Notamacropus eugenii: one gene and its partners. The protein of the gene in region 3 interacts with the protein of the main gene of each other region in a pairwise test. Links are inferred from orthologs where the notes say so. Each region holds a gene or a part of one and is shown on either strand. Other genes may lie near its edges. The genes, in order: RNF111, SIAH1, UBE2K and RNF125.

What was found.
Region 1: the proteins of UBE2K (region 3) and RNF111 interact in binary tests that used the Homo sapiens proteins (3 or more experiments, as listed by UniProt). The link is inferred for Notamacropus eugenii from reciprocal best matches to the Homo sapiens genes UBE2K and RNF111.
Region 2: the proteins of UBE2K (region 3) and SIAH1 interact in binary tests that used the Homo sapiens proteins (3 or more experiments, as listed by UniProt). The link is inferred for Notamacropus eugenii from reciprocal best matches to the Homo sapiens genes UBE2K and SIAH1.
Region 4: the proteins of UBE2K (region 3) and RNF125 interact in a two-hybrid assay, tested with the Homo sapiens proteins (2 studies listed by BioGRID and IntAct). The link is inferred for Notamacropus eugenii from reciprocal best matches to the Homo sapiens genes UBE2K and RNF125.

Annotation. Positions count from the first base shown.
Region 1 is NC_092872.1:137,330,462-137,337,629, forward strand, and holds the start of RNF111 (E3 ubiquitin-protein ligase Arkadia), read right to left. Parts: upstream 3,016-7,168; 5' UTR 2,693-3,015; intron 1-2,692. Other genes in the region: SLTM (SAFB-like transcription modulator), read left to right, coding at 3,518-3,685, 5,113-5,203. UniProt on the Homo sapiens protein: E3 ubiquitin-protein ligase. Required for mesoderm patterning during embryonic development. Acts as an enhancer of the transcriptional responses of the SMAD2/SMAD3 effectors, which are activated downstream of BMP.
Region 2 is NC_092872.1:463,105,690-463,112,591, forward strand, and holds the start of SIAH1 (E3 ubiquitin-protein ligase SIAH1), read right to left. Parts: upstream 3,012-6,902; 5' UTR 1-3,011. UniProt on the Homo sapiens protein: E3 ubiquitin-protein ligase that mediates ubiquitination and subsequent proteasomal degradation of target proteins.
Region 3 is NC_092877.1:93,756,835-93,764,852, reverse strand, and holds the start of UBE2K (ubiquitin-conjugating enzyme E2 K), read right to left. Parts: upstream 3,017-8,018; 5' UTR 2,994-3,016; coding exon 2,931-2,993; intron 1-2,930. UniProt on the Homo sapiens protein: Accepts ubiquitin from the E1 complex and catalyzes its covalent attachment to other proteins. In vitro, in the presence or in the absence of BRCA1-BARD1 E3 ubiquitin-protein ligase complex, catalyzes the synthesis of 'Lys-48'-linked polyubiquitin chains.
Region 4 is NC_092875.1:258,756,141-258,763,442, reverse strand, and holds the start of RNF125 (E3 ubiquitin-protein ligase RNF125), read right to left. Parts: upstream 3,020-7,302; 5' UTR 2,916-3,019; coding exon 2,749-2,915; intron 1-2,748. UniProt on the Homo sapiens protein: E3 ubiquitin-protein ligase that mediates ubiquitination and subsequent proteasomal degradation of target proteins, such as RIGI, MAVS/IPS1, IFIH1/MDA5, JAK1 and p53/TP53.

The DNA of each region.
Region 1 (7,168 bases), on a different chromosome or scaffold from region 3:
CCTTCCCCAACCCCTGTTAAGTCCAGTGTCTTCCCTCAGTTATTTCCTATTTATACTGTATGATCCTTGCTTTGTATATATTTGCTTACCTACTGTCTCTGCCATTAAAGTATAAGCTCCTCAAAGGGAGGGACTATATTATTGCCTTTGTATCTCCACCACTTATCTCAGTGCCTAGCACATAGAAAACACTTAATAAATGTTGACTGACTGATTGGGGGCAGGCTACTCTCCCCTTAACTTCTTTCTCCCACCTACCCCACTTTGAAGGATAGTTTAACTGCATTTTGTGAGAGGGTTATGGAATAGTATTGGGCTTGTAATTCGATGTGAAGTCAGTTAAAGCCTGCAAAACAGGGATGCATGCTATATCTCACAGGTTTGTTTCAAGAAAAGCACACTGTAAACTGTACAGTGCTATTTACAAGCTATTACCATGAATGTTATTGGTGAAGAGCCACAACGTATCAAAAGCAGCTTTACTGCTACAAACATACAGAGGCAAAACCCACATATAGCTTACTGTATTTCCTTTTCCACCCTCCAGTCTGTGCAATTCTTAACTGATTTAAACAAGGACTTATAACCTTGATGCTGGGGTCTGTTTAAATACCCTCTTTTAGGATGAGCTCCTCGGAGCGCAAAATGCTCACTAATGCTTCTCCCACCATTTGTTTTCAAGCCAGGTCCTGTTTACCAACCACTGGCCCTCCACTGCTAGCTTCCTCTTACGGGCTTTTCTCTAATCTTTGACTTTCCCTCTGGTTCCTGAGTCCAAGCCTTGAGAGCTCTATGTCTTCTTCTCCTCTTTACAACTTATGTTCTGCCCTCTTCTCATGTCCTTTGTGATGGATTTCTAATCGTTTCTTTAGTGATATCAAGTCAACATTTAATTGGCTTCAGAACTTCATTCAGCATGTTTCATGAGTCATTCAAGGGCAAAGTTTTGACACATTTGTTTGAAATGTGAAGGTTTATCACATGGATCAAGGGATCTCCTAAAATCACCTAATCCAATCTTCTCATTTAAATTTGTGGAAACAGATTATTTCAGATTGTAGATTTAGAGCTACAAGTGACCTTAAAAGATTTATAGGTGAGGAAATGAAGGCCCAGAGAAGCTATTACTTGGCAAGGACATATAGGTGGCAGAGTTGGGATCTGAACACAGTTCCTCTGACTCCAAATCCAATAGCCTTTCTAGGCAACATATTTGGTGGCAGTGAATAACATAGCCTCAAGGGAAGAGAAACTGAAGAGAGGGAGAACAATTAAGTTGTTATTACAGTGACCTGTACATGAAGTTTTTAAAAGGAATTTAGATTATGGAGGTGATCAGAATGGAAAAGAAGAAATGAATAAGAAAATTTTCAAAAGCAGGAATCACAAGACTTAGTGATTTACTCATGAGAGAGGAGTCAAAAATGACCCCAAGGTTTTAAGCCTGACCACTTGGGAAGATAGTTGTGCAACTAACAGAAACTGAGAACTTGAGTGGGTAAGCTAATTGGTGGCATGTGTATTCTCTTTGACAATCCTTCTAACAACCGACCTCTATAGCTGAACTAAATCTGATAGTTTTATGTTCCTCCCTACAAAGGAGGATTCATTAGAGAGAATTGACCCACCTGCACTGCAAAAAACAGAAACAAATAAACAAAAAATCCCTTGCTACAAGAATTCAAATGTTTAAGCTTAAAATTCAGGGAGTAGATCTGTGTTTTAGAGATGTGACACCATATGAAAAAAAGGTCTAAATCACAAGTGATTAGAGAAATGCAAATTAAAACAACTCTGAGGTACTACATAACACCTATCAGATTGGCTAATATGACAAAACAGGAAAAGATAAATGTTGGAGGAGATGTGGGAAAACTGGAAGACGAATGCATTGTTGGTGGAGTTGTGAGCTGATTCAACCATTCTGAAGAACAATTTGTAACTGCCCAAAGTGCTATAAAACTGCTCATACCCTTTGATCCAGTAGTAAGACAGCTAGGTCTGTATACCAAAGAGAGTTAATAAAAGGGGCAAGAGGGAGCCTATTTGCACAAAAATATTTTATAGCAGCTCTTTTCTGTCAGCAAAGAATTGGGATTCTCATCAATTGGAGAATGGCCAACCAAGCTGTGGTATATGATTGTAATAGGATATTATTTTGCTATACCAAACGACAAGAAGGTTGGAAAAACTTACATGAACTGATGCAAAGTGAAGTGAGCAGAACCAGGAGAAAGTTGTACACAGTAACGGCAATATTTATGATGAAGAATTTTGAATGATTTAGCTCTTCTCAGCAATACAATGATCCAAAGACAATTCCAAAGGACTCGATGAAAAATGCTATCCACCTCCAGAGAAAAGAACGGAAGACACTCCAAAGCATACTATTTTTCCCTTCCTCCCTTCCTCCTTCCTTGATTCCTGTTTGAGTTTTCTTGCACACATGACTAATATAGAAATGATTTATGTGACTGCTCATGCACATTTCAGTGAAGGGGAAGACGGCAGGGAGCAAGGGAGGGAGAGAATTTGGAACTCAAAACTTAAAAAAAAATCCAACGAATGCTAAAAGTTGTTTTTACATGTAACTGGGGGAAATTAATATTATTTTTAAAAAAGAAATGTGATACAGTTTTAATTCCATATGCATGGTAATTATGATTAATAGGAATAATCCAAGGATACTTACCTGTTAAGGTGATTCTTCAAGGAAGAGATTATCACTGTTCGTGGAGACTTAATTTTCTTGCTGTAAAAGTAATGATTCTTGCCTCTGAGGTGGCAAGAGATCTTCGTGTTTGATTTTTAGGAAGCCTATTTCTTGACTCTGCAGAGCAACCTTTCGGGGTTGGGCCATCACATACATACAGTCAGATACGCTGGTAAAGAAATCAGTGACTCCTTACTAAAATCTCAATCCTTTCCAGAAGTAAGGAGGGGGAGACCCAGAAAAGGCCACTAAAGCGTCGTGTTTAAGGGTGAGGAACCAGGTCAGAGCCAACTCAGTCATTCAACAAGCATTTATTAAGTGCCAAGTATTCACTTATGTTTTATGGTGTTTAGCATTTTGTTGGCACTCAATGCCTTTCATGCTTAAAAAAAAGGAAAAGGAAAAGAAACCATATAACCCCATGGAACGGTGGCTCAGTAAACGTTATTGCAGTTACAACTTGTCTGACCTCACACCTCGCGTAAGGGCGTAAGAGGGCAGCACTCTTCAGGTAGCCGGGCAGGTGGGGGTTGGGCTCCCAACGCCAGAGGCCTCAGTGCGCAGGTTCCTCCTCGGGCAGCGAGAACTGGTCGCCAGTGCGCAGGCGTCCCCTTCCATCCGGGTGCTGGCAGCGACTGGTTGCGGCGGGGTGGGACGAGGGGCGGGGCCAGTGTTCATTGTGCGCAGCAGTGAGAGACTGGCTGGGATCTCGGGCCCGGCTCGAAGTTGGGGAAGCCGCCGCCGCCGCCGCCGCCCTCAGCCAGCAGCTCCGGAGCTGCCTCCGCTGCGTGCTCCTTCTCTAAAATGGCCGCCACCGCCTCTGGTTCCTCCTCTGCCACCTCTGCAGCCTCGGGGCAGTCGGAGAGTAAGAAGATCAGCGACCTGCGGGTGATCGATCTCAAATCGGAGTTGAAGCGGCGGAACCTGGACATTAACGGGGTGAAAAACGTGCTCGTTTCCCGGCTCAAGCAGGTGAGGCCCGGCTGGGGACGCCGAGGAGAGGGGGCGGTGTCCTGCGCGGTCCTAGGCCGCGCCGCCCGCCCTCCTCGCCTTTCTCTTAGGATGCTACCGCTGGGCCGGCCCGGAGCGCCCCGAGCCCGCGGGGATCTGGTTGTGGGCAGGGGGCTGCGGTGGGCATTGCTGCGCTTCTCCACCCAGCCCCAGCCCCATCCCCGCGCCCACCCCCCGGCTGGGGCGGCGGGCTGCCCACACCCCTCCCCCATGCTGCCTGGGCTCCGCGGGCCGGGCCCTGATGCTGGCGGGCGGGTTCCGGGCTCCGCTCTCCGGGCTCCGCTCTCCGGGCGCGCGGCGGCCGGCCGGGCTCTTCGGGGAGCAGGGGCGAGCGCGTGGCCTTGTCCGGGTCTGAAAGGGAACCGTGTTGGGCTGTAACGTCTCTCGCTTTAGCTTAACGAAGTTGGTTGTTTAAACTCTCGATCTGTATCCGTGGAATACAGATAATCTAAGCCTGTAGAGATCTACATTTTTTGCATAATATAGACTTATTATATAGGTACATATTCTGAAACATACGTTATTTTTAAATACACGCGTAAAGGTATAGATACACATATTTTAATGTTTAGCGTAGGTCGTCTATGTGTATGCTGAATATAGATAACAATACGTTTTATATTACGTATGGATATCTTTGTATTTAGAGATCTATGTACATAAATTCACGTATGGAGAGATCTAGACACATAGACTTATTTCTGGAGAGGTCTACGTAAATGTGTGTATGTAGAGAGATCTAGATACATAAACTTAATATATAGAGATCTACACAGACTTGTATAGGTAGAGAGCTACATAAATGTATGTAGAAAATCTGTATACATAGACTTATTTTTGTAGAGTGAGCTACGTAAATCTATGTATATACAGGTGACTATACTTTTAATTCTCACATTCCATAGTAACGGTTGGTCTTTCAACGGTTGAACCTCTTGGTTTATTTCTGGGTATGTCGGGATTGTGGGGGAGGGAAAAAAATTTCATCAGAAGAATAAAGGGAACACTTGTTATTAAATTTAAATGGCTCATGATATACAATACCGAAGTCCAGTTAATATTCCACTCGCCGCCGTGGGTCCAGTTTTTATGGCTCCCCTTTATTGTGATTCTTTAACATCATTGTGTTGCAATTTGATTTTACTAATCATGCGGTGGAGTTTTTTTCACAAGCATGCTTTATTCACTCTTAAGTAGCTTAATTTCTTGAAGTAGGTTTTATGACAGGGCTGCTTATTTTAATATCTTGCATTTTCAGAAGACTTGAGATTTGTTCATCTTTTATTTCATCACTTAAATGTCAATTTAGGTAAAATTTGAAATTAAATTTTATTATTAAAACATGAATTTAAACAGAATTTGTATATTAATCTACCTTTCTAACATAGGCAATTGAAGAGGAAGGAGGTGATCCTGATAACATTGATCTGTCTTCTTCGGGTGATACTTCCAACAAGAAAGCAGCAGCTAAAAGCAAAGGTTGTTAAAAGCTTTAAAAATATGTATGTTATATAACTCCTCTACGCTTGTGTGTTATTTGCCCTGTTTATATAGTGCTATGCTTTGCAATTTGCCATTGGCATTCTGCCTTCTTAGATCATGGAAGACTTCATAGTAATGATTGCCAGAATGGAGGTGACTTTAATTTTGTATATAAGATTGTTTTGACTCAACCTTGACTAAAACCTGAACTTTATTATCATGTTACTAATCATGATTCTTGATATCTGTGCCTCCCTAATATAAGAAAATGGGTAGGAGGAGAAAAAGAGGGGAGGACAGGAAATTAACTGATTTGTGTTTTTGAAAATTAATTTTTTTCTTGGCAAATTCATTTTCAGTAGATAAGCTGGTACCAATTTAGTTATAATCCATATGAATAGAATTCAAATTAGTGTATATTCACTGTAATTAAAAATTTGGAACTGTTTGAGGTTCTTCCCTCCATTTTTTTCTTTTTCTCATTTATAATCAGAACTTGATTTTTTTGTAATTTTATCAAAATATATTTCAGTAATGTAAGACTTTAACCATCTCATTTAACTTTACTCTTCTGGATGTCTATAGAATTCTTTTAGCCTAAGTTCCTAAAATTTATTGCTTGACTGTGTTTCAGTGAGTGCTTAGTAAGGTTTCCTCCAGAACTTATGGCAAATTCTTTTAACCCTGAGTAATTCCTTCCAGTGCTGTTTTGAAAATCCTGTATATTGCAAAGAAACATATATAGTAAAATGATAATTGATAACTAGGAATATTGGGATGTCATATAGTTCAGATACTGTTTTTGTGTTAAGTAAAACATTCTAATTTTTTAGTTTGGTTTTTGGAATTCTCATAAGAAGGAAGAAATTGGGCAAAAATCAGCGCCTAAATTAAGGACATGGAAATTAAGAATTCCTTGAATATAATTTCAGTTTTGGGGCCTTTAATTCATTCCCATGTAAAGTACTTCTTGTCACATCTCAAGTTACCTGATAGTTGATGGGTTTGGGTTTTTTTTTTTATCTTTCCCTTTCTGTCCTCATCTCCCTCCATTTTCCTCCTTTCATTCCCTCTCTCTCTCCCATCTCTTAGCACTAGGTCTCTCTGTTTCTCCATGACTGAAAGTAGCTACCATTCATAGACCTGATCCTGCTATTGCTCACCTTGGAAGCTCTGACTTAGGTTTTCTGACTTGGGCTACTTCTACTGTCCTTAGGCAGCTTAGTGGCCCTGTGCTATTGGGAGTTTACCATACTGGTGCTGAACTTGGAGTGGACCCCCAAAATCGGCTTCAGCATTAATACATCTAAGAACTAAGCTCAAGCCTTCCAGTGGCTTCAGCCTCAGTACAGTTATGTGCCACTTTGACTTGCCTAAAGATTCTTAGCCTGGGTCCATGAACTTGAAAAAAAATACTCTGCTAACATTATTTCAGTATAATTGATTTTCATTGTGATCATATGTATTTTTTTAATGCATTTTAAAACATTCTAAGAAGGGATCCATAACAAAAAAGATTAAGAATCCTTGTGTTACTGTCAATTTTTTTAGTATATATCCTTGAGCATGTTACACAAAAGCATTTCACTTACCCATAGATCACTTATTTGATGACTTTAACTTTGGAATATGGATAAGAAAACACAAAAAATCTGAATCTGCAGTAATAATTAGAATTTTTATTTACCTGAGTGCTTTACATTATCTCATTTGATAAGTAAAATCCTGCGAGATAGGTTTGATTACTTATCCCTATTTAATAAATGAAAAAACAGATGCAGGAGGATTAAAAAAGTGACTTGACTTGAGTCCTAGAGTCAGTAAATGTCTGAAATAGGATTCGAATTCTGGTTCCCCTGCTCAGTTCACTACACCATTGGTGTGTGAAACTTGAAAAAGATCCCTCTGGCCCACACACTGACTTTGAAAACCAAGAATTAACATTATCATATTGTATTTTTA
Region 2 (6,902 bases), on a different chromosome or scaffold from region 3:
TTTCACTATCTGATTATTTCTAACTAGCAGACCTTTCAAACAGAAGTATCTTGGGTGTTACCTAGTGCAACAAGTCAGCTCTCATTTTATGGATAAGAAATCTGAGGCCCAGATAAAAGCAATTTGTTCAAAGGCAGAGTCAAGACTAGATTCCCAGAATGCCTGAAAATTCAAAACTTGATTAGCTTAGTGTCACAAAAAAGAAAAATACCAAAATATTCACCTTTCAAGAAATTAATTATAAAATTAGAATGGCTTGTAAAGTAATCAAAAATGGCTATCAATTAAACTGAAATGTTCAAACACACTTTAAAAAACTTGGGGCAGTTTAGGTGGCACAGTGGATAGAGAGAGGCTGGCACTGGAGTTAGCAGGACCTGAGTTCAATTTTAGCTCCAAACGGAATAAATTGCCTCCACAAAAAAACATTTTCCAGTAGAAGACAGTTAAAATGGTGACTTTATTAAAGTAGTTTCTCACTAACCAGAACACAACAGAACTACTTTTACTCAAAGTTGAACATAACTTTACCAATAATGTTATTTAAACAAATTACCAGGGTGGTACACCAAAAGAATCAGCAAAAACCAGATATCATGGCAGTTCTTAAAGATTCATTTTCAATAATTTAATGGCAAACAAAAAAGTAAATTAACATAAATTATGCCTAAACTAATGCCAAGTCATTCATCTAGTTTTTTCTAACTTAACTTACATTTGTTCAATTTCATTGTTCCATTACAATTGAAAGATGAAAAAATTTTATCAAATTATTTTGTTAGCTTCATTTTCCAATGCCACGTCACAGTCAAAAGTTTTCTTTTTTTTAACCTCTCAACCTATGACAGTATGTAATTCAAGCTAAAGTCAATTTAAAACAAATTTCAGAAGCAAAAGTAAAACAAATCATAAACAAAGGATTACAAATTACCTCAGAGGCCATTAGTTCAATCTGTCTTCACTTTCCAAATCAGGAAATTGCAATCCAGAGACTTGTAACTTGTCTAAAGTCACACAAGTACCTGTCAAAGATGGTTTTTGAACTCAGGTCCTCTGACTCTTAGGCAGGGCTCTTTCACTCTACCACAGCGCCTCCCCAAAAAGGTCTTTGACTAGCTGTTCAAGTGACATCACATTTGAAAACTGCTTTTTTCCTTAAAACAAATGTCTATTTTATACCTCATTTCAACTTTGTTTTTCTTTAAATAGTTATTTCATTTTTTTTAGTAAAACCAGGTCTATACATATTATATATGCAAAGTAAACACTATTACAAAGCTATCATAACTGGGATCAAGCAAACCAATCAGGAGATGCCTTACTTACTAGAATAATTTGAGACACTAGGAAAAGAACCAACTTGATAAAAACTGGCAGAGATGCAGCTATAAAGTGGAGGTATGGAGATTAAATGTCAGATCCTAAACCTATTCCAATAAAATGGATGCCTCCCTCCCAAGCCACTGAAGTCAATGAAACACTTTTTTGAAATGGACCTTTTTTAATGCACAGAAGGAAGCACAGACAACACTGTATTGAAAGTAACATACAGAACTACATTTTTTCTCCACAAAAGCAAGTAGTATAAAATGGAAATTCACAATTTCAAAGGGAGGGGTTTTTTTGTATTCTGCTGTGTAAAGATACTTTTGGTGTTTTAAGTTCAGAATTTTTAAAAAGAGAAGAAAAAATGGTGTACTTAAGATAAATGCTGTAAACTGATGCTTGTTTTATTCGTATAATTTGGGGAGGGGGGGGGTGATACTGATCTCTATGCCTAACATCTATTAGTAGTTCTAAGCCCTCTGTAAAAACTGGGATTTTGAAACTAAGAAATGTGCTGAATCAAGAAATATGAGCCATTTTTTTAAGGCATCTGGGAATTATTGAACATGGGCTTATAATGAAGATTTCTGCTGGTGCATGGAAGCCCAGGACCCTTTCTAGAATTGGGGATAAGGGCAAATGTGCCAAATGGAACCCAGTAATTGCTGAGAAGAGGACAGAGGAGTTGCATTAATGTAAAAGGAAAGGCAACTTCCATTCTCAGTACCATGTAACTTTCTGTCCTACTAGGCCTATACTCCAAAGAAATCAAAGAGGGAAAGGACCCTATGCACCCCCTCCCTAAGTAAAATTATGGTAGTTTTTTATAACGGCAAAGAATTGGAAACTAAGGGAGTACCCTTAGAGGGAATACCTGAACAAATAATAGTATACAAATGTAATGGAATACTATTATTCCATAAGAAATTTAAAAAGAGAGAGTTTCAGAGAAATCTGTTAAGACTTGTATGATGCAGGGTAAAGCGAGGACAACAGAAAACAATTTATACAATAACATTTTAAGAACTACTTAAAGACTTAAGAATTATGATAAATGCAATGATCATCCATGATTCCCAGAGCACCAGTGATGAAAAATGATAGTCATCTGAGAATGCACTCAAGATGCAGAGTGATACATACACATTTTTAACATAGCACAGAAATTTATTTTTCTTTACTGTACATATTTGTTAAAGAATTTTCTTTTTCTTTTTCTTTGGGGGGGGGGGATAGGGAAGTGTGAAGGAAAGAAAATAAATGCTGAATGATGGGAAAAAAATGTCTTGTTTTTTTTAATTGTTAAGACTCTCTGATACTTCCACTGAAGAGGTGAGGAGCCCCTAAGAAGGCATAGGGGAGGCTGATACAAAGGCTCAGGCACAGGATCTCATTTTTTTAAAGGTACATGTACATATATATCCATTTAAATAGCCAATTTGCCAACCTTTTCCCGTATCTACTAAAAAAGGTAATAAACATGCTCATTCAGTGTAAGATTCTATTACACAGCATTCTAGATCCAGAATCCTGGTCTACTAAGCAAGTCAAATTAACTAAAATGTATCAAAAATTACATTCCCCCTCCCCAACAAGGAAAAAATAATAATAGTCACTGAAACCAATCACATACTAATGGGAGTTTAATAAGATTTATCTGTTGCTAATTTCTGTTAAAATTTTTATCCTGGACCCTTACTTTGATGGAGGTGTAATTTTATCCACATGGGTTCTCCCTCAGATACCACCAGCTGCGATCCACACATGATTTCTCATCTTTTTAAAGTCATTTATCCAGGTCTCATCATAATTTAGGGAGGAAAGGTTCCACCCAACTTGCTATGCACCTCCTTAGCTTCTCTTCATGCTGTATGGATAAGAAAAGAGCATTTGAGCTGTCCATCCTACAATCTGACAATGACAGACCCCACCTTCTTTTTTTGATCATGTATTTCTTACATCTTTACAAATCAGAATTTGCACAAGAGAAATAATTGAACACCTACTCATGTCCACGCTTCTTCATTGCCTGTTGGATGACCCTCAACTTTAATTCTTCTGAAACTACTGTATTTCATGACTCACAACCAATAATCATAACTGTAAAGATACAAGTATAAAAAAAATGAGTCTCAAAAAAAGTCAAAAGGCATTCCTTTCTAGGAAGGTTCCATATGAACCAAAATAATCAATGATATTTTACGGTAGCAGAAAAAGTAGGAATGGTTAAACCAATGAGGCTACACGAAGCTAATGTACTATTACTGTGCAGTTTGTGGTCGTCTTTCCTTGCCAAGGAAGACCATGCCATCAGAGAAATTATGACATGATTTTGTTTTGAGTGAGGGAGGGCTGTGCAGGTCACCAGCCTCACTTCTCCTCCAGAAAAATCTGAATCCAGTGACCAGACATTCATCAGGATGACTGGAGATGACCCAGGATGCAATGGGAGACCTTGAGCAGTCTTTGCAGGTACTCCCTTAGGGTGAGGCAATGCCCATTCATTGAAAAGGCCTGTTTAAGAAGTAGCCAGGACATGGCCCCTTTAAGGAGGCCAAGAAAAAGAAAAGACATCAGGCTGGGTGGGAAACAACAACAGTTACTGTTGATAACCACTGCAAAGTTAGGAGGGTCGAGAGAAACCCTTAGGTAGGGGCCCAATGGCATCCCTGTTTCAGAGTGAAGTAGGTTTATGGTTTGGGGAGAGGACAGGACAGGACAGAACAGAACAGGAGCAAAGAAGAGCATTCATTGAATAGGACTCTTTAAGAAGTAGCCAGGGCATGGCCCCTGTGAGGCTGGTGACCTGCACACCCTCCCTCACTCAAAACAAAGTCAAGTGCAACTCATGTCATCATTTCTCTGATGACATGGTCTTCTTTGGCAATGAAGGACAAAACACAATCCTGTGAGTAGATGCAGGGGCTGAATGGGGGGGTGGGGGAAGAACACAGGGAGCTGGGTAATTCTAACTCCTCCTCTCCTGTCTGCTTCCCCCTCCCCTTTCTTCTCCTCTCCAAAGGACTGTAAATATGGATGGCCAAAAGATGCCCCGTTTTACTGGCTCCTTTCCTTCCCTTCCCCTTCTCCTGTTCTGTCCTGTTCTTTCCTCTTCCCAAACCTTAAACCTCCTGCAGTCTGAAACTGGGAAGCCAATGGGACCCTGCCTAAAGGCTCCTTTTGACCCTCCTAGCTTTGGAGTGATTATCAATTGTTGCTGTTTCTCACCCAGCCAGATGATTGTGTATTACTGTACATAAGAAATGTAAAAAATTCAAATATGGATGGGAAGACATATGAATTGATGCAGAATAAGGAAAATAATACACAAAACAACTACAACAATGTAAATTGAAAGAGCAACAAAAATAGAAATCAAGTGCTAAAGAGAAAGTTAAAAACTACACTTTTCCTCCTTTTCAGAGATGGGGAACTTATGGAACACTGCATATATTGTCAGACTCAGTTCACGTGGATTAGTTTAGTTGAACTCCCTAAGTCTTTTTTGTTCCTTCTCAAAGTTATTCTTTGTTAGAGAGGATGGCTCTTTGGGTATGGTAAATGCTGGAAGGATATACTGGGAGATTAAGATGACATAATAAAAACAAAATACTTAAGTATCTCCATCCCCACCCCTGCCTCCACCTCCAATCCACCCTTGTGACAGAGCTGCCAAAGTGATTTTCCTAAAGCACAAATCTGTCTTGTCATTTCCCTACTCAGTCAGCTCCAGTCGCTACCCTATTTATTCCAGGCACAAATATAAACACCTCAGTTTGTTACTTAAAGTCCTTCACAATATAACCCTAACCTATTTTCCAGCTGTACTGCATATTAATCTATTTAATCAACACTAAGGTCCACACAGCAAGGAGGCTTTCTAATTGTTCCCCATAACCTATATGCCTGTAATGTACCTCCTAATGACCTCTGTCTCTCAAAATTCTTACTTTCCTTCAATGCTCAGTTCAAGTCCCACCTTTTACATTAAGGATTCTAACTTCCCAGCTTGGTCATTAGAAGCATTATGAAATTTCCCAAAGGCAATCTGACTGGTTCTCCTCCTCCAATTCAGTTCTCAGATCAGTGCACTGTCCATTCACAATGTCTGCTCAGTATTTATGTACTGATGGAGGACTTATGGGCTGTCCATTCAACTGCATGTCAGACTCAGTTCATGTCTTACTATCCAGGATTTCTTCACCCAGTGTAGAGGCAAATTCTCTTGGACCATTAGGGACCTCATTTAGGAGGTTCTACAACGATCTGAGATTTGATGAAACCAGAACAAAATAATCTGCAAACAAAAGTACCTGAAGAGGACTGTAAGATCTTATATTTGTCTTAACCTTTCAGTCAACTGTGTGTTCTTAAGAATGTATCTGGTACAGAATATCCTTTAGGAGTGCCTAACTGTTCAAACTTTCATCAATGATGTCCTTAATGTGTGTATGGATTCAGCTCATAAAAAATTTGAATAGGAAAACAGGGACCTAGGTCAGTAGCTAACATTCTGCCATTTTGGGGGGTAATAAAAGTCGAGTTTTTCCTTTCATATTTCTTTTATGTAATGATTTTTCTTTTTTTTTTTTTAGCAAGGACAGTGCTATTAAGAGTACAAACGTGGCAATGTTGTGGCCGAAGGCACTCACTGATGATGAAAAAGTTCATAAAAATCTTTACAGTCAAGACGGGAAAGACACACAGGAAAAGATGCCCAAGTAAGCTGGAGCAGAAAGAAAATGTACAAAATGACAACAATGTAAACTTAAACGGCAGCAAACAAAAAAAAAAAAAAATGGTACTGAGAGCAATGTAATTATAATGATCCAGCTTGGCCCAAGAGAAGAGTTAAGGAAATGTACTTCCCTCCCTTCTTGGGGGAGGGGAGGATGGGTAGAAGGGAAAGAAAGAGAAGGGAATTGGTATGAATGGAAAAAAATACACATAGCATCAAATACGACTTATGTGTTGGGTTTTCTGAATGACTTTCCTTCACCACTTCTTTATTCTGTAACAAGGAATGGCTTTGTAGGGTAGCAGAAGAAAAATTTTCAGAAATATAAGTGATTTAAAAACAAAAAAAATTTATCTACAATAATTTTTTATTTTAAAATCTTTTTTATCATTCTTGTTAGTTTTTCATCTGTTCTTACACCTTCATCCTTAAACACCCTTCATCTTCTACCATGATTCTCTGGCAAGGTTTAACCAAAAAAATTTTATTTTAAACAGGTGTGGCCATGCAAAGAGTCATGGCAGTCTATAATAGCAAGAAAACAAAGATGTCTGCTGGGTCAAGTGATTTCTAGACTCTGGGATTTCTTATATTAATTAGGTTGCAACAACTTCCTCATGCAACGTTCAAATTCTGTGTTGATGTCTGTTTTATCTATTTCTTATTTGTGTCAACTGCCTGATTAAGTTAGTCAGGTTAGAGAACATTCAATTACAAACACATATCTTCTCTCATTTGTATTGTCTTTACTGAAGATAAATACCTGTAAGACCCACATACTTCAAGAATTATTGTGAGGTTAAAACAAGGCAATGTGTATAAAAATACTTTGCAAACC
Region 3 (8,018 bases):
TGGGAAGACCACAACCTCTTTTCATATTCCAAGAGCTTTAATTTTTTAAAATGAATCTACACTGGAAGAAAACCTGTTCACTATAAACAGTCTTAGATTCCAGGATGAAAATATCTCACTAAAAAGATCACCTTTTTCCCCCTCATCGTTCCATGAATTCCATTTCAATGTCGTTGAAAATAAACGTTAAAAGCAAAAAATAAAAATTCATGGTTTTAAGACTACCTTGCTATCAACAATAAAAGTAAAACTAAATAATAAATTCTGATGGATAACTTGGGGCTAAACAGCGGACCTACCTTATGACCCATTCCATTAATTTTGAGTTACTATTTCTTTAAAAAACATTTTTGAAGTGACTTATTAAGAATAGGTCCAGAGATCAAACTCAGATGAAACCTTAATAGGAAACTTTGAAAAGACTATGTGTCAATTAGATTTCCAAACTCAGACCTAAGAAAAAAATCTGGACAATCCTTTCACAAGATAATAAGTTAAGAATTCTTACTATAAAAATGTTCTTTTACAACTACAAAGGTTTCTGAAATGCAAAATGCCTTTGATATCAGCTGATATTCTCCATAAATACAGACTCAATATATAAGCAAACTTTGGACAGAAAAGAAAAAAACCCAAAGTAGTGAAAGAATACGACCAGACATTCAAAATATTGTTAACATTAGAAACAAAATACATGAATTAAGCTAGGAGTCCTCTCTTCTAATGAGCATAATTGGTGTTAGAATCCTTTTATAGAGCTTGATCTAATAAAAATAAATGATGGAACCTGTTTTCATCCAAGATTAAAAGGCTGAGACCCTTCCCGGGCAAAAGTCCTTTTCTACTGACTTGGGGGAAGGAGGACAAAGAAGGAAGTGCTTGCTTTCAGATGTATATGGACAGAGTTAAGTTCCCAAAAGATGGACCCTGGCATATAAGGTTTTTCTTCTGGACACACCAAGATAGTTTTCTCATTCTAATTTTGCCACTCCCAAACAACTCCCATGGGGACAAGGAGTACACAGGAATACTTGTATTCATTCAGTTATGCATAAACAAGTATTTCTAGAAACTCTGAATTCAAGTCCTTAGAATACCATGGTAATAAATCAGTCACCATTAAAACGAGTCAAAGAAACCAATATTAGAAGTAGTAAGGTGTACTTTGTAACTAGGAAATAGAAAAGGAAGCATTAAATCCATATTAAGATTTGTACAACTATTTTTAAAACCTATCCTTTTACTACGGTTACTCAGATTGGATGCTCTGAAGCACCTCCATTTCATTAGTTAGAATCACCCAATAGTCTGTAGCAGTGCAGACACTTAGGACTCTGAAGAGCGCAGTGGTTTCTGCACTGTACCACAAAAATACACAGTCATTCTTCCATTCATTTTGGCACTTGAACAAACATACAGGTCAAAGTTCACACACATGCTCTGTGGAAAAGACTCATCTGGAATACTAACACAATATACAAACATCCCAAATGTATAAAGTAGCTAGCAAAGTAATTTTTTTTAAATCACAGGATACTATGTCTACTTGCAAAGATGTGGCATTTTTTTCATATGATCATTGCAGACTCAGTAAGTTTTTAGGCCAGATGTCACCCTAGTAATGATTTCAATAGAATACTAAATTTCAAAAGTAACACTACTACTTATTACTAAAGTATCATAATAAGAAACTTAAAAGAGATCATGATCAGAACGTAATTATACTAAATATTCTGCTTCTATTTTAGGGAAGATACATAAAAATTTCCAATTAAACAATTCCATACTCTGATTATCATATGGTAATAAGTAATGCATCATCTATATCTGTTTTAAGTGGGGGAAAACTGTTTTGAGAGATCAGCATTGTTGCATGACAAACCATAAGAACATTACCAGACTGTAACATACATGAAGCACTAATAGTATGCATCGGTCTAGAAGGAACAGGAAGAATTTTGGCCAGCTGGAAATTTTTAATCATTCTTTGAACAGTCAATGATAATTAAATCACCCATCATTCTTGTTCAGAAGATAGTCGGTGAACCTTCCTATTTTCAAATGCTCTTTTTCAAAGATATTATACAAGTAAACTAAAAGGGACATAATTAAGTTTAGTCTACAATTTAAGCCACTGAGGCAAATGGCTTAAAGAGATGGTGTCTACCAACCTTTAGAGATTATATAAAAACACAGTACTGTAATCTGTTCTCACCAACCACTGTCACTGGCTAAAAATATTAAATTCACCGAAGAACTGCCTGCCCTCAGACAAACCCTGGAAGGGTCAATGCAGAGGCCCATTCCTGGGGCACCTGGAATGAATCATTGATTTCAACTGAAAAAAATCTCTTCCCTCCACTAGGACACTGAGCCACCATGTTGTCCTGGTCCCTTTCCTGCCTACCTTTCATCCAACCCATCTAAGAAGAAATCCCCCCAAGTATCGTCCTCCCTTTTTTCAGCAGTGCCCAGGGATCTTTCCCCAAGAACAGATGGGGGAGCCCTCCGGTCCGGGCCCCCGATCCCCCACCCAGCAGGGCCTGGGGCAGACCTGCTTTCCGTCCGTTCTCTTCCCACCTTTCCCCTTCCCCCAACCCACTTCCCGGGGTTTCTCGGCCTCGGCCTGCTCCTTCCCGGCGCCGCCGCAGCCACACTTCCTGCAGCGGCGGCCGTGGCGGCCGTGGCCGCCGGGCCCCTTCCCCAACACGGTCCCCCCCAATCCCAGCCTCGCCTTCCGCCGCCCTCCCGCCGGTGACACGGCCAAACCGGGGCCCAGGGCGGGGGGTGGAGGAGGGAGGCCGCCTCCCGGACACGGCGCGGAGGGGAGCCGGGCGTGCGGGGGGCCGCCCGCGGGGGGCCGGGGGGGTCGAGGAGGTCGTGCCTGGGAGGGGAGGAGGCGGGGGGACGGCCGGGAGTTCATTCCTGACCTCCTCGCTCTTCAGCACCTCCTTGAACTCTCGCTTGATTCGCTGCACCGCAATGTTGGCCATGTCTCCTCCCGCAGCCGTTTCGCACCCCCCGCCTCCGCCGCCGCCACGACCGCCGCCGCCGCCGCCGCCACCTCCGCCGCCTCCTCCTCCCTCAGCGATTCAGACCCGAGCAGGGGAGCCGTGCCGCCGCCGCCGCTCTCTCCTCACAGTGGATTCACCTCCGCGCCCGGCCACCAAAATGGCGCTGGGGCCGCGCATGCGCATGGCGATCGCCCAGCCGGGCGGCGCAGCGGCTCTCGTTGGAAGCCCCCAGGAAGCTTCTGAGCCGCGAGCCCGCCAGCCGGCCGCGAGCTTCAGCCCGTGCGCCGTAGCGTGCGTGGGGTGGTCCCGGGCTTCCGTGACGCGCGCGCGCACACTGCTCCTTCCCCCTCCCCCCCTACTCGGGGATGGGGGCTTACCCGGAGGGGCCCCTATTCAGGCTTCGCCCCTTTCCTTTAAACCCTTCCGCCGGCTGCTAGGCCCTGGCCGCCTCCCGGACCTTGCCCGGGGACTTGGCGGCAGCAGGCGGATCAGCGCACTATGAGGACCCCCTCATCCCCCCAAACGCTTCCCAGTCCATCTCCCTGCAGCCAGCCGGGCGAGGAGAGGAGGCTTTCCGGAGAAGAGAGAAAAGAGGCACCGCAGAACTCCGACCTTTCCTTCAGGGGGCCCTCCTCAAAATCGCCGCCGCCTTTTTTTTGGGTTTATTTTAGGATAAAATCAGGACAGCCCTAACAGGGAATTAGGTTCTCCTTTCTGCCGCCACCCCCACCACCCATCACAAAAGAGTGCTGACGAGGCGCTAGCGGGATACTGCCGCAAAGCCCCCCCGCATGGCCCGGGCCAGCCCGTCCGCAGAGCAGCCGAGAAGCCGCGACGCAAAGCCCGGAGCGGCCTGGAAGTCCGGGCCAGCTTGGCCAAGGGGGTGGAGGCGGGCGGCTTCCCTGGCCGGCGCCCGTCCGGCCCGGGAAGGGCTCGCCATCGAAGGCCTGCCGAGGGGGCTGCGGCCCCCAAGGCAAGAGCTAGGGAGGATTCGAGGCCGGAGTGGGACCTTCGGGTACGGAGCCGGCTGGAGAAGGACTAGACAGGGAGGGGGAGGGGGGCGGGCCGCCACGAGCTTATCTCGCCTCCAGGGACCTGTCTTTGGGTGGGAGGCTTATCTCCAAAGAGCGAGGAAAGATACAATGTTACCGATGTGGTTTTACACAGTGTGCCTAATAAAGACAAGATGTATCCATAACCGCTACAAAAAAATGCGGCGGCAGAAAGGGAAACGAACGAAACGCCCCAAAAATATCCATTTCCCAGCTGACTAACGTCAGACATCAGAGGCTCCCAGCAGAGCCCCCTCGTGGTCCAGAAGGGAGCCGAAGTGTCTTATGTGGGTCACGGTGCGTGAACAGCCCGGCCAGACGACTACACGGAAGTCGGGGTTTGGGGGTTGGGGTTTTTTTTTTTACTTTGTTACGCAAACCTCTGCGTCTGCGCCTGGACCGGTTTTGATCCAAGGGTTTTGGGGTTTACACGCCATCAAAGGGGCATTAGGTCTCAGCCCATAGACACGTCTTCAATGCAAGTCCCCAGATTCCCAACATGAATGAAATTCACAAAATACCAATAGTTCTTTACCAGAATTTTAGGTTTTTCTATAAAGCCATCCGCCAACACCACACAGACCCTTCTGAAAATACGGTAGTTCACCAAGATGATCAGTTTACGAGTTACTCGGCCACCTCAGGTAACATTTTTCTTTTACCTCTTAGTAAGGTAGCGTGAATTATCTTGTGTAGTCGATGTGATATAACTCCCTTATTAAACTTTCACAAAGGCAAGGGCCGGCCGGCATCTAACTTAATGCTGAATTCCTCACATATCCACGTACCCTTTTACTAGGAAAATAAATGACTGTTGCCTTTAAGTTGGGATCCCAGATTGAAAGCTGGGAAGGTTCGGTCCAACCCCCTCATTTTGAAGATGAAGAAACAGGCCCAGAGGTGGAGACTCATTCAAGGTTACAACAGGAGTAAGTGGCAGAATTATTGGGTCTTGAATTCCTATCCTCCGATGCCAGACTCAGCAGCATTCTATAGTAGAGAGGTATTTAATAACTACTTATTGAACTGAATTTTTATTTTAAGGGCTGAGATTTCACAGGATTTCCCATCCTGTGTGCTGCTGGTGTTGTTACAGATGAGGGAAAGGGTTTGGATTGAGAAATGGATTTTCTAATGGCTTGGAGTACTGTGGTAACTTTTGTTACCACTTAAAGGCCTGTTTGGTTTGTTTGTTTTTTTCTGCGATACATTTTATTTAGACTTGACAGAAGATTCCTAACAAAGCATCCTCCAAACCCTCCCTTATTTCTCCAATACAGTTCAAGGAAATAGTTAAACAAAATTGCCTTGTAGACTACTAAAAGTTTTGACTCAGGCCAAATTAAATACCATAGTGTAATAAGGTATGATTCCCCTCTAACGGCACAAGTAGCCTCCACTATTTTAGAATACTAGAATAGTCATGATTTTCCTTTCAAAGAAGAAATAAATATTCAAGATTTCTTTTTTCACTCTTGCATTGATCTTACTGCTCAATTCAGGCACTGTGCTAAGGGTTGGGGATACAAAAAGGCAAAAGACAGTCCCTACCTTTAAGAACTTCACATTCTAACTGCCTTTCTGGGTTGAAGTTTTTTATTCATCCTGCAAAACAGTTCTTTTTTATCTTCATTCTTTTCCTGACAAAGGACATCTGGTATTTTGCCAGATTCTTTAGACTTCTTTCTCTTTCTTTACTTTTACTTCCATCCCCCTCATTTGATTCTCTTTGAAAAATCTCTTTACTTCAAAACATTGAACTCTAAAATAATTTTGCTTTCACTGCACTGACTGTTAGCATACTGTTAGCTCTACCCTTAGCATACTGTTAGTTTCCCTGGGCAGCTGGAATGGGAAGCTCCAGCTGCAGGAGGAGAAGGCTACATTTAGTTCCAGACAGTCAAACTTCTAAACTTAGCTCCAGGCCAGTGGGGCACCAGAGGATTGATTGTGATGCATGCTGCATTATTCCAGACTCAGAATGCATTAGAAACCTGACCAATGTGACTTTTAAAAGATTTGCAGAGTGAAGCAGAAATGTTACAAGGCCAGCTTTGCAAGTGCAGGCTCCCAGCAGAGCCATAATGGCCATCATTATCAAGATAGTAGAAAATGGGGATGTCTCTGAACAAATTCAGAGTGCTTGGAATTCATAATAAAATTTTTCACTCTTTTATATTAGACATTAATAATAATGTGGATTCTAATAAATTAACCTCTTACTGTATTTATTAATTTGGCTTTAGGAAAGTTTAAAATAATATTTACCAATGTAACTTTCAACATTTTTGTATACTTGATTAAGCAAAGCAACCTTAGACCCTAGTGGAGATAGCCCAGGATCCTGAACCCAAGAACCCAGCAAATAGCAATGTACTCTAGTGTATGGTGTACCCCAGGTCCACTGGACCTACATACCACCCAACCTCCATAGCTATCATGAGGGGATAGATCATAGTGGAAAAGAGATCCATCTTTCCTCATCACCAACAGCATCTCTCAGATGGAATGAGGAGCCCTGGGAATGGCAACATCTCCACAGCAACATAGGCCTCACAGTCATCCTCTAGGAGGGCAGCACCTATGGAGAAGGAACCAGTTATCTCCACCAACTGTCAACCAGCTGCCACACACAGGACAGGCAAGCCAGACTCACTGAAGCAGCCAGGCATCCTAAAGTAGAAATAGGGAACAATTGTGCTAGGCAAGTCAAGTTTGTCAGATCCCTGACAAAGACAAGCCCAAGACTCTGACCAAGAGCCTGGGAAATAGTAACTCTTCCAGCGTTATCCAAATGCCATCATCCTAACAGTCAATTCCTCTGGGGATACATCCTGGCAACTACTTATGTAGGTGCTGTAGCCGCAGCTTTTAAAGATGGGGGAAAAAAAGTCCTTGACACTGCCAAATGGTTCAACATCAAGAATAGGTGAATTTATCAGTGGAAATGATATTAAAAAGGAGACACTAGCATCTGCTTTGCCATTGTACCCTAAAGACCGTAGGACTTTTCCATGGGACTTGTACCCGAAACCTTCCATATGTATTATCTCCCCTATTGGAATGGAGCTTTCTGAGAGCTTTTCTATTTATATGCCGAGTGCTACACACATAGTAAGCACTTAATAAATGCTTTATTAATTTATCCATTTATTCACCCTACTTATGGAGGTCTGCCAATTACATTTCCCAGATTCCTGTTAGGGTCTTATGTAGTTTGGAGGAATCAGTTCATTATTTCATTGACTTTTCCATATGCAGTTGAGATTTATTCAAGCTTCACACTGTTTCTTAAGTGTGGAATGCTTCATTTAGATCTGAAAGAACTTCCTTTGGATTTAATAGTCTCTATCTTTTACCCCACATGTAGACACCTCCTTTCACCTGAAGATAGCTACCACTTATCCAATAAGCCTTTTCTTTTCCAGACAAAAATCCCTTGTTCCTTCAACTGATTCTGGGATGACCTAACCTAGAGACCCTGCAGTGAATACTCTCTAGCTTATATATATGTCCATACTAAAATGAAAAATATCCTATCCTCATTTTCCAGATGAGAATACTTAGAAGTAGAGAAGTAACTTGCCCAAACTCACAGGAATAAGACTTAAAAACATAGTCTCCTGAAAGGTAGTTCAGTATTCTTGACATTCTACTTCATCATTTTCCTATCTCGTCATGCTTCAGATTTAGCTGGGCTGTAACATTTAGTAAGAAGGCTTTATTTATTAAGGAAAATGGACTAGTGAATCATTACCCACCATATATAATGATATCAACTTAGTAGTCATATGACTAAGTTCCTCATCTTTAATGTCCAGCTTCTCCATTAGATTACCTAAAAATATTCTCCCTCTTTTTCTTCTCAGGCTGAGAAGGCCTGAAGTCATTCTTCAAGGAATAGGGTACAGGGTAAGGAAGTTGGGGAATACACCCCAGTTATTACTGGGCT
Region 4 (7,302 bases), on a different chromosome or scaffold from region 3:
ACTTTTAACTACTACCACCCCTACTCCCCCCAAGCTGAAAGCATAATATTTCTAGTATTTCAGGAATACATGCCCATGACACCATATACAAAGGTGAAAAAGATTCTTACTATATCTACAGGCCAAACCCTGGGAATCTCTTCAGCCTGTTTTTATAAGTTGGAGGAGGGAGGAGGGAGCAGAGATTTCAAATACTTCTGTGTTTACAAATCAAATACTCTATGGAACATGCCCTTTAAAAAGTAATTTAATTCTACATATCTCTATCTACATCATATCATAACTTTGCTTAGAAATTATCAGTTCAATAATAGGCCAAATTAAATCAGTCTGTCTTCTTCTACACTCTTCTCCAATTTTCCATTTTCGCATCTATTTTTCAGGCTGTGTTTCCTGAAGTTAGAATGCTTTCCCCCTTGCCTCTTCCCAAGGTAAACTGCTATCCATAGTCTTAAGCCCAATTTAAATGCCAGCTACTCCATGAAAACTTCCTTGATCTTTAGGTAATTAGTAAGCACTTCTCCCCCTCTTCTCCACCCATTGCTTGTGCTAAAAAAGTAAATTATTTTAAAAAAAGATTAGATTCATTAAAAACAAAAACATCTCATACCATCATAACTGAAGCAATGGGTGGGTGTGGCAAAGAAACCCACAGTGACTTGAGCTAAGTTAAGATATCCCAAAATGGATTGGGGTTTTTCCTCACTAGATTTTCAAGGAAAGGCTACATCTAGTTGAAGAGAGGATTCTTGTGAGGAATGGGCTGGACTAGAATACAGCCCACTCCCACTCCCACCCCACAGTTCCTATCCAATCTGGAGACCTTTATGTGGCAAGATCAGTTGGTTGCATATACCCCTCTAGCTAAAACAAACGGCCAGAGTATGTTTTCATCCTTCTTTGTGTTCCCAGGGCACGGCCCTTAAAATTAATGCTCTCTGATTGAATGTGATAGTGGAGTTTGGATGGTAGAATCAAATAATATACTTGGCACAACTGCTGAGCTGTGTGCATCTAAGCACCAGTAGGGATCATAAGTTTAGAGCTGGAAGAGATTGACCTTAGAAGGTCCCCTCACCATACAGATGAAGAATTTGAGATGCAGTGATTTGCCCAAGGTTGCATAGAGCCAGGATTTGAAGTCACACTCTCTGGCTCCAAACCAAGTGAGCTGGCCACTAATTCCTGTTGTTCGGTGGTGTCTGACTCATTACCCCATTTGGAAGTTTCTTTTAAGCAAAGATATTTGAGTGATTCGCCATTTCCTTCTCCAGCTCATTTTGCAGATGAGGAAACTGAAGGAGAAACAGGATTAAGTTATTTGTCCAGGGCTACTAGGAAATGTTTGAAGTCAAATCTGAACTCTACGCCGGGTGCTCTATCCACTATGCCACCTACTTTCCGCTAAACAGCCTACTAAAGGCCAAGAACTTCTAACCTGCATTTCCGATCTGGGCGGCTAGGTGGCGCAGTGCCTAGAGTCAGGACGACCCGACTTCAAACGTGACGCTGGCTTACCGACTGTGTGACCCTCGGCAAATCACTAAACCTCCATCCCTCTCGTCTCAGCTTCCTCATCTGTAAAAGGGGGATAATAACAGCATCTCCGTTCCTGGGTTGTACCGAAGATAGAGGGGGATATCTGTAAAGCTTTTTGTAACGACTGAAGCAAGATATAAGACACATAGATATAGATATACACACATATGCTTACATATGCATATATACACTTATTTAGATTACCCATTAAGGAATTAGAAATCATGTAGAACAACTGACTTATATAAAGCTCAGTCGGAGTAAGTGGTTTGAAAAAACCCACCATTTAACCCCTACTTCCCATTAATCATATTTTTTCTCTTTACTGCTAGAAGACCTTGACCTTTCAGGCTCTTGGTAGTTTCCTTTAAAAAGACTCATCCCCAGCAGGAGGTCTTTTGTTTACGCCAGCTCCCAAACTCGAAACTAACCGCAGCCTAACTTTAACAAAGTAGCAAAGCGAGACACCCGGGCGCTACAACTCCGGTAACTTCACCTTCGGCAGGAGGGAGGGGGGGACAGCGGCGGGGGCTGGGGTCTGCTCCGTCAGTGGTTTTCGCCACAGGAGGAAGCGCTGGGGGCGTTTCAGGACACGTGCGCAGCCCCAACAAAACGCGACCCGTCTGGGTGTCGGGGGCCCAGGGAGGCACAGCGCCAGCCCGGCTCTGTTTACTTGGAGAACTGCGCTTGGCCTCAGCCAGCCACTTCCTACTTGCAAGGTCTAGTTAGGCTTGGCCCTAGATAGACGGTTGCCCTGGGGGGTCCAGAAGACACCGGCAACTCCATGCGGACCCAGAACCGAGCGCGCACCCGGGGCTGGGCTGAGTAGCTACCGCGAGCATCCTGGCTAGCCCCGGAGCACCGTCTAGCGGGACCGGACTGGTCACCGACCCGCTAACGTCCTCAGAGCGCTCAGATTTGACTGAGACGCAGCAAGTAGTCGATCTGGCTCGCCCTCTTTCTCCCAATCTTTGTGCCACCTTCAGACAAGGCACTTTCCCGCAGCCGAGGCCCGCCGGGTCCCGGTTTTACAATACCACACCTCCAGCAGAAGCTCCCCATCGCAGAACGCGGCTTTACTAAGTTACAGCTCTTAATGCTCTCCACTGACCTAGGACAGACCCCTTCTTTCTTCCACCTGGCTTCTTTCTGGCCCGGCGGGCACCGGCCACAGCGATCTCGCACCCCGGGCCGCTCCCCCTCACTTACACGTGGCCGCAGCGGGTCCGTACGGGCTGATGCAGCACTTCGAGGCAGACCGAACAATCAAAGGAGGTGACCGGCAGCTCCACTTCGCCCCTCCCGGGCAGGGCGGACGGGGTGGCCCTGGCAGCCGGGGCTGCTCGGCCGCTGTCACTGCTCAGCGCGGAACCCATCGCCTGCCTCCTCTCCAGCCCGGACAGCTGCTGCTAAGCTGGGTGCCTTCGCTTCAATTGTTTTGTTGTCCTGCGGTTAAGGAAGGAAGTCCCAGCCCAGCTGGGATCGCCGCCTCCCTGCCCCCACAGTCCTGCTCTCCGGAGCCAACCCCCGCCCCTTCTAACCTTCCAAGCCGAGACTTTCGCCAGTAACTCCGCCAGTCAGAAGTTATCCTCTTCCTCCAGCTACCCCCAACCATGGGGAGGAGACGGCGGCCGCAGCCGCGAGCACTGCAGTGTCGTCCGCTCCCAGGAGGCTTGAAACCTGAAACCCGAACCGCACAGAGGAATAGCAGCTGCCCACTGTTAGGTCTTCCTCTCCCAAACCAAGAGGAAGGAGGGATGTGAAGCTTTTTTTAACCTTCGGGTTTCTACTTGCCATTACTCTGTTCAATACATCAGGAACCCTATTCAAGCAAAGTTCAGGGTGTTTGCATACAGTCCTTAACCACTGTGGGGGGTTGAGGCAAACAATTTTTAGCAGTTAATTGTTCTAATACTCCTGAAACTGGAGTTCAAAACCATGACAGGTATTAGTAATTTAGAGTCTAGATGGGATCTATCAGGGTAGACTGCAACTAACTGAGATATTTATTATAAGGCCTAAAATATAAGAACCATATATAATACAGTTCTTAATAACGACATTAACTGCACAGTAAAGTGCTCCTTACTTGAGGGCAGGGACTGATGTGAAGGGGGTGAAGAGGGGCTGTATTTTCAGCACTTAGCACCTTCCCTTGTATGTTCTGTAAATTTTCTTGAATCAGATCTGCAGGAGTAATGGATAAATTTAAAGAGGACAATCATATTGATCCTAGTCTGTCTAAACAAGAACCCCGTCTATAAAACAGCCATCAAACGGACAACTATATATTTGGAAACCTCCAAATAAGGGGGAATCTACCCCTCCCAGGGCATTCTGTTTTACTTTTGAATCCAACTGTTAGGATATTTCCCCCTATATCGGGCCTAATTAAAATGAAATAATATGTATATTTAGCACAGTGTCTGGCACATAATAGGTATTAAATAAAAGCTAGCTACCTATTGACTGATTCTCTTCTCCAGAGAACACACACATACATACATGAGGCTGCTAAGTGTCACAGTGGAATAGGACTCTAAGCCTGGAGTCAGGAAGTTCTGAATTCAAACTCAGTCCCAGATACTAGCTGTGAGGCTGGAAAGTTATTTAACCTCTGTGCCTCAATTTCTTTAACTGTGAAGTAGGTTTAATGATAGTACCTACCTCCCAAGGTTGCTGTGAGGATCAAAATAGCATATTTGTAAAGCACTTAGCACAGTGCCTTACACATAGATACCATTTTATGAGTGATTTTTCTCCTCCTCTCTTTCCTCCTCCTTTTCATCATCAATATTATTCAATATTACTTGACTACATTGGTAAAAACGTGGCCGCAGTGGTCCGTATGGGCTAAGGCTTTGGAGTCCTTCTGACACATATTGTCTCAATGACCCTAACAAATCACAACTTCTCAGTGCTCTGCTGCTTCTGTTGCTGTTTCTCCATGAGGACCATAACATCAGGGAGATGATGCCAGGACATGCAAATGAATTGGATTTAAGTGAGGGAGGGCTGTGCAAAGTCACCAGTTTCTTACCTAGAGCTCCCTTGATCCATGAGCTTAGAGATCTACTTTCTTTTCTGTTCCCTCCCCACTAACACTTCCCTAGAATGTAGACTCCTTGAGAGTAAGGCTTGTTTTCTTCCTTCATAGAGTCTTGTTTGCTTGCTTGATCCTAGCCATCCTCCTCTGGATTGATCTCCAGTTTTCACTGCCCTTCCTAAAATGTGTCTCCAAGAACCAACTGAACACAATCCTGATGATGTGTGATCAGTGCAGAGTACAGTATAATACCACATCCCACATGCTGGAACATGTATCTTTTAAAGCAGCCAGATATCTCATTACAATTAGTTAATTAATAGTTTAAATTATAAACCTGCTTGAAGGCATTTGCTTTATAAGAAGTATCTCTCAAAAAGGTTCTGACCCTGGAAGGTAGTGTGGTATAGTCAGGGGTGCACTCACCAATGTTAAACAGCTGACTCTGGGGGGAAAAATATGAAAGGCACACTTTGAAGTGTAATCTCTATGGTTATAACTTTCTCCTTCGTTTTCTTAAGTCTAGTCTATCAATACAGTAATAAATCTAGCTTTGATTTGTAGCATTTGCCCATTTCCTATTTGAGTATGAACTAACCCATCCTGAAAATTTAACCTCCAACTCTCAAGAGCCTGTTCCAGCACACACCTGGGGTAGTAGATAGAGGTAGCTTCAGAGTCAGTTGGGAAAACAGGTTAAAGTCCTTCCTATGATACTTAATGCACACTAGATATATGATCTTCCTCAAGTCACTTTAACTTCTCAGTGTACCAACAACTCTCCAAACAATGAGTTGTAGGGTAGGTGGAGGCCTGCACTGGTGGAGGCCGCCAGGAATTCCCCATATGGAGGAAATCACAGACCTAGTTAAAAAAAAAAGAGCATATGGACTTTTTGATTGCCACATCACACTGTTGAAGTATATTGAGTTTGTAGTTAATCAAACCCCCCAGATGATACATATTTTGCATCTCTCCCCTTCTCTTTAACTACAAGACCACTACTCTAGTTCAAGACTTCATTGTGTTTTGTTTGTACTATTATGATGGCCTCCTAATTGATCTCCCTGCTTTTAGCCTCTCCTCTCTCCAATCTATCTTCCACACAATTGTCAAAATAATGTTCCTAAAGCATAGATCTGAAGATGTCACTTCTGGCCAAATATGTTCAATGGCTTTCCATCACCTATAGGACAAAATACAATTTCCTGGTCTGGCATTTTAGGTTCTCCACAGTCTGTATCAAACCTGTCTTTTCTGCCTTATTTCATATGATTCCCCTTCACAAATTCTGTCCCAGCCAAACTGGACTGTTTTTTCCTTTCATCTCCAGCATTTCTTCCTCTATCCAGCCCTGCCTCCCACCATACCTGGACCACATACCATTGTTACCTCTACCTCTTAGAATCCTTGTATTTCTTTAGGGTGTACCTCTGGTGCTTTCTCTTCTGTGAAGTTTTCTCTGAGTTTCCCAATTCCCTTTCAAAATTATTTTGCATTATACTTATTTATGTATGTAACACAAATCTCAAAGCCCATTTATATGGGGTTCATCTGTGGAGACTGAATACTCAATGCTTCATGCCCATCTGAGGGGTAGAGTTGGTGAAGACTTCTGGCTTCCATCTTTGGGAGAGAAGATCTGAATTCTCCCCTCCCTTCTCCCTCTCCCACCCATTGACAAGGCAAGAAGAACAAAGTCAGTGTGTGTATGCATGCGTGCGTGCGTGCTTGCGTGCGTGTGGTCATGGAGAACTTGTTTCTTCATCCTTTAGAGTTGAGGTTGCTCATTGTGTTGATCAAAGTTCCTAAGTCTTTCAAAGCTGATTATCTTTACAGTATTGTTATGATATACATTGTTCTCCTGGTTATGCTTCCAAGTGAAGTCTTTTTTGCATCATTCATACAAGTTTTCCTTCCCACCTTTCTTTTCTGCCTCTGGGCTCTTGATTTCAGATTGATTTGTGTCTCTATCCCATGTCTAAGAGGCATTGCTTACTAAAGGGCAAACTGTCAGCGCAGTAGGTAGTAGAATGCTAGTTTAAGATGTTACCCCAACTTGACAGGGTTTGTCTTTTAATAAAGAATTCTGACCAAAAGCAGTGAAGATACAAACTGTTAAATCTCTCAAATACTCCAATAGATCTGTATTCTCATCCATCTGCCTAAAAGGCAATCCATCTTTATCTATCCATGTTGTGAATGTCATTGAATCTAGTCATCCCTTGTTCTTGCCAAGTGACTAAAATGTTTTTTGTCTGCTTTTCTTTTTCTGCTCATGCATTTTTCTGATGGATGAATTTCACCAGTGGAACTTTATAGGGGAGATTCATTGTCCCAAAGTTCCCAAACCATCTACTCTCCCTATTCCTCCTGAGGTCAAACCGTATTTTTTACTTGGAAATGGATTAGCCTCTAAAAATAAAATAAAATAAGTCCTTGTAAGGCCATGAAAAACTTTTACAGCATATCCCCAAGCCAAATTTTCTTGTTTTTCTTTTTCCCAACCTTATCAGCTTACCTGTTGAAGTTTAAAGGGACTGGGACCCCGAAATAGCAACACTCAAGTCCTGCCCAAATGAATTTGACCCAAACTTTCTTTCAGTCAAATAAAAACAAGGTTTGTTAAAGCGCTGTCCAAGGTTGGCATGATTCTAAAAATCAGCCACATTATCCGGACTCTTAAGGAAACTCATTCTTTGACTTGTTAATGAAAG